Linked DNA regions of Elephas maximus indicus. The protein of the gene in region 1 interacts with the protein of each later gene in a pairwise test. Links are inferred from orthologs where the notes say so. Each region holds a gene or a part of one and is shown on either strand. Other genes may lie near its edges.

What was found.
Region 2: the proteins of NIF3L1 (region 1) and DMC1 interact in binary tests that used the Homo sapiens proteins (3 or more experiments, as listed by UniProt). The two-hybrid records come from large-scale screens. The link is inferred for Elephas maximus indicus from reciprocal best matches to the Homo sapiens genes NIF3L1 and DMC1.

Annotation. Positions count from the first base shown.
Region 1 is NC_064824.1:99,577,173-99,584,746, forward strand, and holds the start of NIF3L1 (NIF3-like protein 1), read left to right. Parts: upstream 1-4,535; 5' UTR 4,536-4,709; coding exon 4,710-4,738; intron 4,739-6,433; exon of another isoform or gene 6,434-7,186; intron 7,187-7,574. Other genes in the region: PPIL3 (peptidyl-prolyl cis-trans isomerase-like 3), read right to left, coding at 568-642, 4,093-4,134. UniProt on the Homo sapiens protein: May function as a transcriptional corepressor through its interaction with COPS2, negatively regulating the expression of genes involved in neuronal differentiation.
Region 2 is NC_064822.1:182,465,706-182,473,110, forward strand, and holds the start of DMC1 (meiotic recombination protein DMC1/LIM15 homolog), read right to left. Parts: upstream 3,054-7,405; 5' UTR 3,012-3,053; intron 1,181-3,011; 5' UTR 1,155-1,180; coding exon 1,104-1,154; intron 277-1,103; coding exon 232-276; intron 1-231. UniProt on the Homo sapiens protein: Participates in meiotic recombination, specifically in homologous strand assimilation, which is required for the resolution of meiotic double-strand breaks.

The sequences.
Region 1 (7,574 bases):
GCAAGACAGCCTTACATAAGTAACTACTGGATGAATGAGTACATACCAGTGACTCTTCTTCCTTCCACCTTTGTCATTTAAACAGGTGAAACAATGAACAGTTCTCTTATCTGATATCCTAACAATTCTCTACCTTTCCTGAGGAAAATGAGTCAAAAAAAAAGATATCAACCACTCTACAGTTTCCATACTGAGTCGATTCCATAGGGTTTTCAAGGCTGTGACCTTTCGGAAGCGGATCGCTAGGCCTTGTCTTCCGATGCATCTCTGAGGTGGGTTCCAACCACCAATCTTTTGGCTAGTAGTCAAGCGCTTAACTACTTGCATTACACAGGGACTCCTACTCTATGCTTAGAGGAAAACTATCTACCATTTCTTTGATCTACCTTTGATATGGTAAAAGGTAAGGAAATTAGGCCAGAAATTATAATGGCTGGTTCTTCCTGACCACAGTTTCACAAAAAAGTTTTTTTCTATTGTTACTGTCTTAGGGTTAGGTGATTCAATTTCAAAATGGCTATCCTGGTACATTAAACTAATTTTTCATATACAAATAATGGTACTCACCTCACAGGTTTTGGGTGTCCTCTCACAAAAAACTTCTATTTTAATATCACCTACATCTGTATGCAATGTCACAGACTAAAAGGGAGAGAGAATTTGAGAACAAGTAAGATTTCTTCACGTGACTTTATGCACTGTATTGTTTCCCTTACTGGACATCCAGTATGACAGTCTGAGTAAAAGGAGACGGAAAGAAATACTGCATCAGAGATGACGTTCACATAACAGCTCTAGAGATGAGTTATACTTCTTCCCTAAAATTTATTCTAACAGCAGGAAAAAATACCATAAGATAGATATAAATGATAAGATAGATGTAAATGTTAAAGTAAAAAGGTATTTATGCTAAAAATTGGAAACAAATATTGAGATAGAAATTAGTTTACATTTGAATTTTTTATCAGTAAAAACAAGTGTTATGTTACTATTATTGATTTAAATGGTAAATCACCAAAACATAGTTTCCACCATATCCCTTATGTAATTTTATCCTGAGAAACAGGGTTAAAAATCAGTTTTTCTTTCTTTTAATTAATTTTTTATTGTGCTTTAAGTCAAAGTTTACAAATCAGGTCTCTCATACAAAAATTTATATACACCTTGCCATACACTCCTAATTGCTCTCCCTCCAATGAGACAGCACAGTTCTTCCCTCCACTCTCTCCTCGTGTCCATTCTGGTAGCTTCTGGCCCCCTCTGCCCTCTCATCTCCCCTCCAGACAGGAGATGCCAACATAGTCTCATGTGTCTATTTGATCCAAAAAGCTCGTTCTTCACCAGTATCATCTTCCATCCCCTATTCCAGTCCAATCCCTGTCTTAAGAGTTGGCTCTGGGAATGGTTCCTGTCCTGGGCCAACAGAAGGTCTGGGGACCATGGCCTCCGGGGTCCCTCCAGTCCCAGGCTGACCATTGAGTCTGGTCTTTTTACAAGAATTTGGGGTCTGCATCCCACTGCTCTCCTGCTCCCTCAGGGTTTCTCTATTGAGTTCCCTGTCAGGGCAGTCACCGGTTGTGGCTGGGCACCATCTAGTTCTTCTGGTCTCAGGCTGATGTAGTCTCTGGTTTATGTGGTCCTTTCTGTTCCTTAGGCTCATAATTACCTTTTGTCTTTGGTGTTCTTCATTCTTCCTTGCTCTAGGTGGGTTGAGACCAACTGATGCCTCCTAGATGGCCGCTTGCCAGCGTTTAAGACCCCAGGCACCACTCTCCAAAGTGGGATGCAGAATGTTTTCTTAATAGGTTTTATTATGCCGATTGACTTAGATGTTCCCTAAAACCACGGTCCTCAAACCCCCGCCCCGGCCACGCCAGCTCTCAAAGAATTCAGTTTATTCAGGAAACGCCTTTGCTTTTGGTTTAGTCCAGTTGTGTTGACCTCTCCTGTATTATGTATTATCTTTTCCTTCACCCATAATAAAACGTATATGTATTTTTTTTTTTTTATTATCTATCAATTTCTTTCTTGACTAAAGAAACAAGTATAAAAAGCATCAAAGAATTATCTTAGGTGAGGGGAAGGACAACACACAATACAAGGGAAGTCAGCACCAGTAGACGAAACCAAAAGCTAAGAAGTTTCCTGAACACAACGAAACACTTCGAGGGACAGAGTAGCAGGGACAGGGGTCTGGGGACCATGGTTTCAGGGGACACCTAGGTCAACTGGCATGACAAAGTTTAGTAAGAAAATGTTCTGCCTCCCACTTTGGTAAGTGGTGTCTTAAAAGCTAGCAAGTGGCCATCTAAGATGCATCAATTGGTCCCAACTCACCTGGAGCAAAGGAGAATGAAGAGCACTAAAGACACAGGAAAATGTTACCCCAAGAGACAAAAGGGTCCATCAATCTGAGACCAGAAGAACTAGATGGTGCCCAGCTACCACCAGTGACCACCCTGAGAGGGAACACAACAAAGAGTCCCTTACAGAGCAGTAGAAAAGTGTGATGCAGAACTCAAATTCTAATAAAAAGACCAGATTTAATGGTCTGAGACTAGAGGAACCCCAGAACACATGGCCCGCAGACTCTCTGTTAACCCAGAACTAAAACCATTGCTGGAGCCAACTCTTCAGACAAAGATTAGATTGGATTACAAAACGTAACACTCATGAAGAGTGTGCTTCCTAGTTCAAGCAGATACACGAGACTAAATGGGCACCTCCTGGCAGGCGGCAGGTTGAGAAGGCATAAGGGGATAGGAGCTGGTTGAATGGACACAGGAAACACAGGGTGGAAAGGGAGAGTGTGCTTTCACATTATAGGAATCGCAACTCATTCCAGAGAGGGGAGAAAACTATTTTGAGGCTTTCTTTTTTCTTCTCCTTACAATAATATCTAGCAGTCAGGAGGTATGGCCAGGTAGAAGGTAGAGGATAGGTGGGGGTGGGGCAGGGCACTATTCTCATTGCTTATCTTCTACTTCAAGTTAGAACCCACTGCCTTCAAGTCCATTCTGTTTAGCAGTGAAGCACTTTGACCACTGTGCTACCAGGGCTTATCATACATGGTTATACTGTTCTGCTCCTCCAACTCCCCCTTTCCATCTCTAATAATCTTTTTTCCATAAAAGGTAAATTCTGTGCATTTTAAGTGAAAACATTAAAGAATTAAAAAATAATTTTGCTGTTTTGTTTTTGTTTGGCATCATTCTACACTGTATGCCTCTACATCCTACTTTTTCTCCAACTTGGTGCTGAAATTTTCATGCAGTTTTATTTCCCTTGACTGGATTTCTAGAACTTACACGCATTCAAAAATATTCTACAAAACTTACCATTCTTCTTAATGGTTTCAGGAAGCACTGTTACTTAATGTATCACAGTGCTTCTGAGAAAGTGAGTCTGTTTGTAAAAAACAAGAGCAAAAAAGAATTGTTTTTTTCCTCTTAATTCACGCTTGCTTATTGTATATTAATAAGAAAAAGCCTCAAAGAGCATTCCCCACGTAATACAAATCTGGTTATAGACGTAGTGAGGAGGTCCTGAATATACTTCCTCTCCCTCACTCTTCTTCCAGAGCCTCCTTGTAAGTCTTCCAACAAGTCAGGCACACTCCCCCTCCTGAGGGTGTCAGCACTGGATGTTCCCTTTCCCTGGATCCCTCACACTTAGACATTAGTACTGCTGATTCCCTCACCGCCAAGTCTGCTCAATGTCAGGTCTCATTGACCTGTAAATCCTATTTAAAATTGTTTTAACCCTCCTACCTGCCCTATTTCCTTTTCCCATCACACTTATCACTAACATACTATACACTTTCCTTATTTAAAGTGTCTCTTTCCAACACCACCTCAACCCCAAATGTTCACTCAGAAGTATCCCAAGAACTAAAACACCCGTTGTCGAATCGATTCCGGCTCACAGTGACCTATAGGACAGAATAGAACTGCCCTGTAAGGTCTACCAAGGAGCGCCTGGTGGATTCGAACTGCCGACCCTTCCGGTTAGCAGCCGAGCTCTTAACCACGGTGCCACCAGGGATCCAAGAACAAGAACTAAGATAGTGTCTATCATATAGTTAGCGCTCACCAAGCACTTGAATAAGCGAATGAAAGGATTAAAACCGTCCATTCTTAATTCGGAGCTCTGGTGGAACTGTGGTTAACAGGTTGCTAAACAAAAGGTCTGCAGTTCGGATCCACCAGCCCCTCCTTGGAAACCCTGTGGGGCAGTTCCAATCTGTCCTATAAGGTCGCTATGAGTCGGAACCGACGCGACGGCAACGGGTTTTTTATACTTCACCATTTCAGTTAAGCAAAGCCGTTGCATAAAACAGAAGATGGAGCCGGTGATGTTCGCACGACTCCGGTCGCCGGAAGTTATAGTTTTTTGGCCACCGGAAGTTGGACGCGGGGCCCCTAACAGAGGACGCTCTTTCTTACAAGTTCCTTCGGTCCTCCGTTCTTACCTGGCTCAAACCAAATCGACTAGAAAAAGGGAACCATGGGACACGCTTGACAGTGAAAGGAAAAAAAAAAAAGAAGCTCTTAATAATTACACTAAAACAAGAAGCGTAACTCGGAGCTATCCTGGGCCACCTGTATAAGTGCCTTGGTCTCAGCTGTAAAACTTGACGGACCACTTCCGTTCAACTCCTGTCCTCGGCCCAGTCTTACAACACGGGGAGCTACTGCGCAGAGCCGGAAATGGCGTTTGAGAGGCATTTCCAGGACGGGTGAGTAATGTACTATCTAGAAACCTGCGTGGATTTTCGATATCTTAGAGGTAGAGCCTAGTTAGGAGTTGATTCCGACTCATAGTGACCCTATAGGACAGAGCGGAGCCGCCCTATACGGTTTCCGAAGCTGTAATCTTTAGGGAGCAGATTGCCTCGTCTTTATCCCGCAGAGCCGCTGGTGGGTTCTAATAGCCCACTTTTCGGTTAGCAGCTGAGCTCAGAACCATTGCGGCCACCGGGGCTCCAAGTTAGGGTAGACTTCGGTTGTTGTTGGAGTGTAGGGAAAGGAGCGGAAGAGGAGGCCTTGCAGAGAACTGGCCTGTCGCAGGGGTGCATGGGACGGGGGTCCTGACTCCTGGGGTTACTGGCTGTGCCACCTGGCGCTCTTCAGTGCCCAGGAAAAGGTGCTGCGGTGGAACTGACATGAAGGGTAGATGAGAACCTAAGAGGGAATAGTTTGCAGGTTGGGAAAAAAAAAAACCTTAATGTTAGTAAACAGTAGCAGTCACAGTGTTTACTCTGGGCCGGTCATTGTTCACGGCACAATACCTTTTGAATTTTCGTGACAATCATATCAGCTGGGCACTATTATTTACATTTCTTTTTTTCAGACGGGAAAACTGTAAAGGTAATTTGCCCGTGGTTGACATCTGTGCCTTTGGGGTTCAGTCTGGCTTCAGAGTCAGTGCTCTTAACCACCATGCTGTGCTGCCTCTCATTGTCGTTAACTGCGGCTTGAAGCCAAGTAGCCTCGCAGTATCCTAATCTATGCAATGGGAATGTTCTACCATGTTTCCACGGTCTCTTTCAAATATAACAGTAAATAACTCAAAATCAGCGTGGTGGCCTACTGGGACTTCACTTTACCTCTTGCTAGACTTAGAAGAATCTAGCGAGTGGATGTGGTAACAGAATCATTAGATCTTCCAAGTCCCCAGGCTCGCGTTGTTTTTCCAGGCCTTGCACATAAGTATCCATATCCTAATGAAATACTTTCTGCTGTAAAAATGTTGGAAAAAAGTTTTTTTCTTGAAATCATTGGGTTCTGAATGTTTCATTACATTTACAATTGGCTGTGCTTTCTTGTTAAGGAGCCCTGGCGGAGCAGTGGTTAAGTGCTTGGCTGCAGCCTAAAGATGGGTGATTCAGACCCACCAGCTGGGTCTGCAAGAGGAAGATGTGGCAGCCTACTTCCCTAAAGATTGTTGTAGTTAGGTGCCATTGAGTCATTCTGGCTCATAGTGACCCTATAGGACAGAGTAGAACTGCCCCATAGGGTTACCTGTAGGGCAGAGTAGACCTGGGTTTCCAAGGAGCAGCTGGTGGATTTGAACTGCCAGCCTTTTAGTTAGCAGCCATAGTAGCAGAGATCTTAACCACTGTACCACCAGGGCGTCTCCCTAGAGATTACAGCCTTGGAAACCTTATGGGGCAGTTCTACCATTTTCCTATAAAGTTGGTATAAGTCAGAATTCACTAGAGGGCAGTGTGTTTTTTAATATCAATCGTGCATACCAGAAGATGTTTTTCTTCCAAAACCAAAAATTTTTATAGATATTAAATTTAAGAACAGAGTTGACAGTGTTATTTTTGTGGTTATTTGGTTAATCATTTACTGATTTTAATTTGTCACCTTTCATATTTTAGAGCCAGCAAATTTTTCCCAGCTCCACAATTTCCTTTTTTAGTCCTCTACCTTTCCTTTTTTTGCCAACCTTTCCAATTTTTGTTGGCTGTAGATGTCTAGAAGGCTTACAGGCTGTGTAGGCAACGTACCTACACCGTTAGCTCTCCCACCTCTTGAGTGTGGCTTTTGTGCTGTAGGTGTTAATGGTTCAGGAGCAGAAGCTCCTGCCTTTTCCTGGCCATGACCCTGCCCATTCAGAAGAGTGACCCACTAATGCATCCCATGATACTGGCTGCTGATAAAGCAATTGATTTTTTAAAAAATATTATTATTATTTTGGTAAAGCACTTTTGCCAGTATGTACCACCCTAACTCCAAATTGGAAACCCTGGTGGCGTAGCAGTTAAGAGTTACAGCTGCTAAACAAAAGGTCGGCAGTTGGAATCCACCAGGCTTTCCTTGGAAATCCTATGGGACAGTTCTCCTCTGCCCTGTAGGGTCACTATGAGTCAGAATCGACTCGATGGCAACTGGTTTGGTTTTGGTTTTGGTTTAACTCCAAATTAAGGAGCCTGGCGGTACAGTAGTTAAGCACGCTTGGCTGCTAACTGAAAGATTTCAGTTCAGACCTACCAGCCGCTATGATGGAGAATGATGTGGCAGTCTACTTCTGTAAAGATTTCAGCTTTGGAAACACTACGGGGCAGTTTTACTTTGTCCTATAGCGTCGCTATGAGTCGGAATTGACTCCATGACAGTAGGTTTGTTTTTTTGGTTTTAACTCCAAATTCTGCAAGGAAGGAGGAGACTGCCATTCTGTGAGTAAACATTAGTGCCTACCTATGCTGGTGATACTGGGATTTAGAAAACATAGTTCTTTAATTTTTTTTTTTTTTTGCTTTCAGTGAAAGTTTACCATTCAGCTTCTCCCACAAAAACTTATACACTCATCGTCATATGATCCTAGTTGCTCTTTCTACAATGTAACAGCACATTCCTTCTCTTGTCCTTGTATTTCCCGTGTCCATTCAACCAGCTCCTGTCCACCTCTGCCTTCTCATCTCACCTCTGGACAGGAGCTGCCCACATGGTCTCATGTGTCTACTTGAGCTAAGAAGCACACTCCTCACCATTATCATTTTATGTCTTACAGTGCAGTCTAATCTTTGTCTGAAGAGTTGGCTTCGGGAATGGTTTTAGTTTTGG
Region 2 (7,405 bases), on another chromosome or scaffold:
CCCCCTGGGGATACTTGACAATGTCTGGAGACATTTTTGGTTTTCATAACTGGAGGGCACTACTCACTACTAGCACATAGTGAGTGGGTAGAGGCCAGGAATGCTGCTAAACACCATACAATGCACAGGCCAGCCCCCTACAACAGAGAATTATCCAGCCCAAAATGTCAATAGGCCTGTGCTGCGAAACCCTGAGTTGAACAACTAAACACAAAATCAAAAAATACTTACAATTCCATGTTTTTGTAACAGGTCAATATCTTGAAACAAAGATTCCTAAAGGTGATAAAACAAAAAAATGAGTTTTGATTTTTCATATCCAATTGTTTCATGTCTTTTAAAGAGTTAATTCAATAAAATAAGTCACTCCAAAATGCCTCAAATTTCACTTCTCTAGATGGTTTGAAGTAGGATCAATAATGTTTTTTCTCACACATTGTTACATACTTAGAAGAACTTCCAACGTTGAAAGGGCTGGGAAACTTATACCTTTGTCATGGTCTTTACCAAATTTTTAAGGCCTTTATCCAATGCTGTTCCACTGCTTTTTTTTATCCAAAGCAGTGGAACAGCATTTAACCTATTTTAAACATGTTTTTTCAACTTTCTTCCCCACCAGACCCTGAACTCCTTCTAAGACCAGGCTGCTATTTGGTACCAATCCCTGGGTGGCACAGTTAAGTACTCGACTATCAGGCAGATGGTTGGTGGTTCAAACCCACCCAGAGGTGCCTTGGAAGACAGGCCTGGTGATCTGCTTCTGAAAGGTCACGGCCTTGAAAACCCCATGAAACAGCTCTACTCTGCACACATGAGGTCATCATGAGTCGGAATAGACATGACGATAACTAATAACGACAATGCATAGGTACTAGTATAGCCATACCAGTTGTTCAGTTATTAAAATAACCTTCATGCCAGTTGCTAAACAGCTAATCTTAGCACCCCTCGACATAGTACTGTTATGTATCTATAATGCAACCTCTTTCTAGAGCTATGTTTTATTTTTACTTTTAGTTTCTAAAAATAGTAGCTAAAAGAGACAGAACTTAATTTTTGTGGAATGCTTAAATGTCTACTTATCGTCCAGCATCCTAACATACTTCATCATCTTGGAATCCTGGTTCTTCCGTCACAACCTGATCCTCCTTCATATTGAAAGCCGAGCAGCAGAACAATTCTAGGAAAATAAGAAATTATTTCAGAGGTGGTATAGTAAAACATCTTTTGCCCAGAGGCCTCCTTGATTTCATTTCAAAGTCACTAGAAGCAAAAGAAGAGAAACATTTAGTTTGGAATGAATGGGCAGGGCCATCTTCTCTCTGTTGGGCAAGTGGCATTACTTTTGTGTATGTCTGTGGCGGGGGGGGCGGTGGGCTGGTCTTATTTTGTTTCTTCTCTCCATTAACACTGCTCACTTTTTGTCATCTTTTTCATTTCTCATAGCACAGTTAATCGGACTGTCTGATATCTTTATTGTTGTCTTAGAATGATATTTAAAATTGCATATTGCTATTTAACCTTTCATGTTTATGTTTAACAACACTGTAATAACCTTGACCTTATGCCATTTTTCCTTGTATGCTCCCTGGCACCTAGAACATGGCCTACCCTGAATGAACAGATTTTATTTTTCTCATATTTTTTTTTTATGATGAATGCATTCCTGTTTGCTGATTATGAATTCGTTCTTCTCTTGTAACATGTATCTTTTTGTTTCATACGACACTAGATATATGTTGTTTTATAATTTACCAGTTTCGTGATTTTTTTGAGATTAAAAATAAGGTGGATACCTGTAGTATTATAACATTAGGGCCAATAAGTTGTTAAAGAGTCTTTGATTTAACACTGTAGCAGTTGTTTTAACTGTCTGGAATCTACATGACTAGGTTCCTCACAATAAAATGTGGGCTTAATAATCAAGTTTTCTTGGTTTATTCCATCTCCTCACTTAATACCAAAGTCAGGGGTTGGAACTCAGCAGAAGGGAAATAAACTATTGTAGAGGTATGGTCCTACCACCCAGTACTTTTAAACAGAAAGGTATAAGAGGCAAATGTGGTATAGTTTACACGGAATCTTCTAGAATACTGTCCCTCAGATAAAGCCGTAAAAAAACCCAAACTTGTTGCCCTGGAGTGGATTCCAACTCCTAGCGACCCTATAGGGCAGAGGAGAACTGCCCCATTGGGTTTCCAAGTAGAAGCTGGTGGATTCCAACTGCTGGCTTTAGGTTAGCAGCTGAAATCTTAACCACAGTGTCACCAGATAGCTACATATATATATAAAAAAAATGGTTACCCAAAATTCCACATTGACTATCCTCATTGAATCGAAGGGAGAAAAAAATATATATATATAATATATATCCATTTCTTCTTGATAAAACGAAAACATTGTTCACTATCTCTTTCAAGTAGCAACTGACAGACTGAACAGTTCCCTCTACTGGGCTCCCAGACATCTTGGTTTCTACGGTTTTACGCGTGACCTGCCACCTCGGTTTAAGGGAGACAGGGCTGCGTATCTTGGGGGAGCATGGTCCATGTCATCTTTGATGTCACCAGGTGACAGGCGACCTGGGACCTGGCAGCCAGAGCCCCCCTGTGGACATTTTCTTGACATCCGACTCCCTCATACGAGGGAAGGGCCGAGGAGGCTTCTTTAAGACTTCGGTCCAGTTTTATAAGGCTGTCGGAGATCCTCTAAGACCACCGAGATTCCTCCCCGGGGCTGGTGGCGGAGCGCACAAAGTCACAAGCCCAGGCCCCAGCCACGACCCCAGGAAAGGGGCGAAAAAGCGGACTGTATTTTCTTAAAGCCTCGAGTTTCCCCTCAGTTTCTTCACTCGGTTTCCCGTTTGCCACACACCTCCCTCGTACCAACGCTCTCCCCGAGGTTTTCAAGGTGATTTCCCTTCGCCCCCACCCTGGGTTTCCGGTTCTCAGCTCTTGAGATTTGGGATCCGACCCAGAACGCAGAGAAGGGCGACCCCGCGCGTCGCTGACCTGAGAGTTTGGCGCCGAAAGACAAAGGCCCCGGGCGCGCGCTCAACGTGGGCGGGGCGAGGGCTGAGGGGCGGGAGCGGGCGGGACACGGTGGGCGGGTCGGAGGGCGAGGGGCGGGGCTTGACCCAGGGGGCGGGGCTGGGAGTTGCTGCCAGAGGAGCCTCCTGAGGGGAGACTCCCTGCAGTGGGGGAGGCTCGCTGGGATGGGGCAGGGGCGATGAGGTGGAGGAAATGTACTGAGGAGGGGGCCCTTGGTGGGAGGAGAGGCTGGGGCGCTCCTTGAGCTGAGGGAGATGCTGAAGTAAGGGCGCGCACTCTGAGGTGGAGGCACTGAGGAGACGTGCCGAGATTAGGGGGTGCTGAGGTGGGCGCGCTGGGGTGAGGGCAGGCTGCTGTGAGCAAGAACGTCCTGAAGTGGGGGTTGGTCTGAGCTGAAGAGAGGCCGCTGGGAAGCGGCTGATTTGGGGAAGGGCATCACTGAGGTGGAAGACCTTGAGGTGAGGGAAGGGTGTTGAGTAGAAGAGAGGGCGGGGATATACCCAATGCCTGTCTTAATCAGAACCTTCGAGTTAGGAAGTGGAATGGTGAGGGGTCTCTTTTCCCCTGCCCAAGGCTTTTCTTTTCATTCCAAGTGTTTCAGACCGGCTTCACAGTCTGTCCCTCAAACCTCAGTGTTCCTAAGCTCATTTCATTCTCTTTGACTCTGTTACCATTTACCACTCTCTTGTCTGTGATTGAGACACCAAGGGCCCATTCAGGATGGAGAGTAATTTTTCTTCATCTTAACTTGCAGTTTAAATAGACAACAGATGCCAAACATATCTTGGTCCAGCTTTTAAATAGAAATTGTAAGCCTGCCTTCATGCCAGCAGAGCCATCTCTGGCAGCATTGTCCTCCTATCCTTAAATGGAGACTGACTGTTGTTGAAGAGAATTATGAAACATTTGAAAGAGCATCTGTTGAGGTGGAGGCTGTGATGGATCTTGGATGACTATCTATGCAAACAGTTCTTTGGGTTCAAGACCTAGTACAGGGCAACCCTTTTTCTTCATTGTCTGAAACATTTTGCTGGAATAAATAGCAAAAAAAAAAAAAAATATCCCACAATAGCAGTTGGCATTTTGTCGGACACTTTTCCCCAGGTGGATTGTTTAAAGAGCCAATAAATAACTGCCATAGCTCTTCGAAATCTGTTGTTTTCCAGAAACATAGGCTGTCCATTGTTAATGGAAATTAATGGCCATTTTGGGGATGAACTAGGTAGTGATGATAGGCTTTCTCTCTGAGGCCTCATTAAAATAACTAAGGTAACTTCTGAGCAGTTTGTTAGATGAAGACATCAACAGTGTACAGAAGAGCTGCAAAGAGCACAGCAAGATGATTTAGGGAAATATAACATATGTAGTTTGGTGTAGTGACAGCTGGGAGAGAGAAATGTTCATAATATTTGAAGGTTGTGTGCAGTACACTTAAAGAAAGAAGCTGAAATGAGCTTGGTAATGACAAATTCATAAAGTGAGGATAAAAATTTTGTTTGGATATCATAGTTGATTACATACAACTTTAAAAATATTAAAAAAAAATCTGAAGTAGTTAAAAATTATACATGAAGACCTTTCCACTCAACGGAACAACAACAAAAAAGATGAGTCTTTCAAATCATAGAAAATTCTGAATATGATGAAGGTGGCATTTTGAATGAGTGGGGAAGTGATGAATTCAGTGAATGGTGTTGGAACAACTAGGTAGCCATCTGGAAGAAAAATAAAATTGGAATCATACTTCACACCTTACACCAAAATAAACTGCAGATAAATTAAATCTGAACAATAAAATAATAAAAGTACTAGAAGAAAATGTGGTAGAATTTTTTTTTAATTATCTTTGAATAGGAAAAGCCTCTTTGAGTATGACATAAAACTCAGAAGCCGTGAAAAACTAGTAAGTACCTTAAAAAAAAAATTCTGCAAGACAAAATGCCACTTTCCTAAATACAGAGCATGGCAAGCCAGAGCTTTTGTGTCAATTTATAACTGGATAAGATAGTTCGTCCAGTTTTTCAAATTCTTCAGGGAGTCCACAAGTTCCCTACAAAATTTAAAATTTTTATGCCATATTATGATATTCTAAAATATAAAAATAACAAAAATAGGCAGTGGGGTTACAGTCAGGATCTGAATTTTTAACCACTGCGCTTTACTGCCCCTCTGTGGACAACCACCTTATAACAAATAGAAGCAAATGATTTCAGTGACTAACAGATTTCTCATACTGATGCCTGCAGATATATATTCTCGGAGGCTCAACAGCTCAAATTTGAAAATGGCTTTAGTAGAAAACTAAAGAATGCAGGGTCATCACATAAAGAATTCCAGTGGGTACATCTTCCCTTAAACATATAAAATTCCTTAAAAAAAAACCACCTACTATGCTAGGTGTTGGGTGCTAGGGATTCAACAACAAGCAAGATACAAACCCTGTGAGGACTACAGATAAGTATATAGGCAATTATAGCCACTGCTACTGTAATAGTATAACCCTAAATTCTGCTTCTCCCCTGTTGACAATCCCCATGAATATTTTCATTTTTCTGCGTGAATCCCTGGTGGTACAGTGGTTAAGAGTTATGGCTGCTTAAAAAGGTTGGCAGTTCGGATCTACCAGCTGCTCCTTGGCAGCCCTATTGGGGCAGTCCTACTCTGTCCTATAGGGTTGCTATGAGTTATAATCAACTCAGTGGCAAAGGGTTTGGTTTTTTGGTTTATGGTCTTTACGACTAAATGGCAAACATGCCTTGGAAATTAGAGATGTGAATTTCTCGGAGCCATTTGCTCACATCCTAAAGGTAATAAAACTTAGAGATGCCTTTCCCCTCTTCCCTGGAGTCATTTGCTTATATTCTAGGGTTGTAAAAACCTAGGAACTTTTTGCTCCACTCCCTAGATGGGATTTGCTTACACTAGATAGTAAAGGTCTCTGTGTTTCTCTCTCTCTTTCTCCAGGGTGAGAAGGGGCAGATATACCAGCCGTTCTATATAAACTCCAAGTCTCATCAAAATTTTGGGGTTTCTGCCCTGTGGTCAAACTCTGCTGTATACACAGGTGAATATTTGGCCCTCATTCATCACCCTCTGCAGAACTGGGACATGGGGAACTGGTGCTAAGATGCTCTGTGAGTAACAGCAGTCTGTTTTCTGATTCAGTTATATATACAAATGGTATGTGTATACTACATATATATATATATATAGCCCCCTCATCAAAAACTAACTTCTACCATGGTTTTAGAAAAGTGGAAAATTTATGTCTTTCCTGAGATGCCCACTGGGAAGTAGCTTCTTACCACTGGGTGCCCCACTCCACAGTGCCTCTTCACATTCGCTGCCACCTGGCATCCTACACATAGTCCCCTCCATAGGATATGCAGCCCCTTTTCCACAGACATCAGTGGAGAGACTGATGTGAGTCTCACCCATGGTCCTCTTCTTTGCCCTATCCCTTCATTCTCTGTAGTATCACTCGAAGCAGAAAGGCACATCAGATTTTACTGAAACATTGTGGTAAATAATGGAAAATATGTGTGTATGCTAGAAAGCTTTTTAAAATTAATGTTCAATTAATTTAAGTAATAACACGTTTTAAAATTTAGTTTTCCTTAAGCCTTCGATAATATTTTCTAGTGTTGAAAAGCAAAGATGTCACTGTGAAGATTAAGGTGGGCCTGACTCAAGCCATGGTGTTTTCAATCGTCTCATATCCATGTGAAAGCTGGGTGATAAATAAGGAAGACCAAAGAACTGACACCTTTAAATTGTGGTGTTGGAGAAGAATATTGACTATATTATGAACTGCCTAAAAGAACGAACAAATCTTCTTGGAAGAAGTACAACCAGAATGCTTCTTAGGAGCAAGGATGATGAGACTTTGTCTCATATACTTTGGACATGTTATCAGGAGGGATCAGTCCCTAGAGAAGGACATCATGCTTAGTAAAGTAGAGGGTCAGTGGAAAAAAGGAAGACCCTCAACAAGCTGGAGTGACACAGTGGCTGCAACAATGGGCCCGAGCATAACAACAATTGTGAGGAGGGCCCAGGACCAGGCAGTGTGTCATTTTGCTGTACACAGGGTCACTATGAGTCAGAACCAACTCGATGGCACCTAACAAAAACAATAACAGCAACACATAATGAAACCCCAATAAAAACTCTGGACACCGAGCTTGTTTGGTTGGGAATACTCTGCATATTGTCACACATCTATGTGCCAGGAGGTAATGAGTCCTGATTCCATGGGGAGAAGACCACAGAAAGTTCACATTTGGGACCCTCCCAGACCTTGCTCTATGCCTCTCTCCCTTTGGCAGCTCTGATGTGCATATTTAAACTGTAAT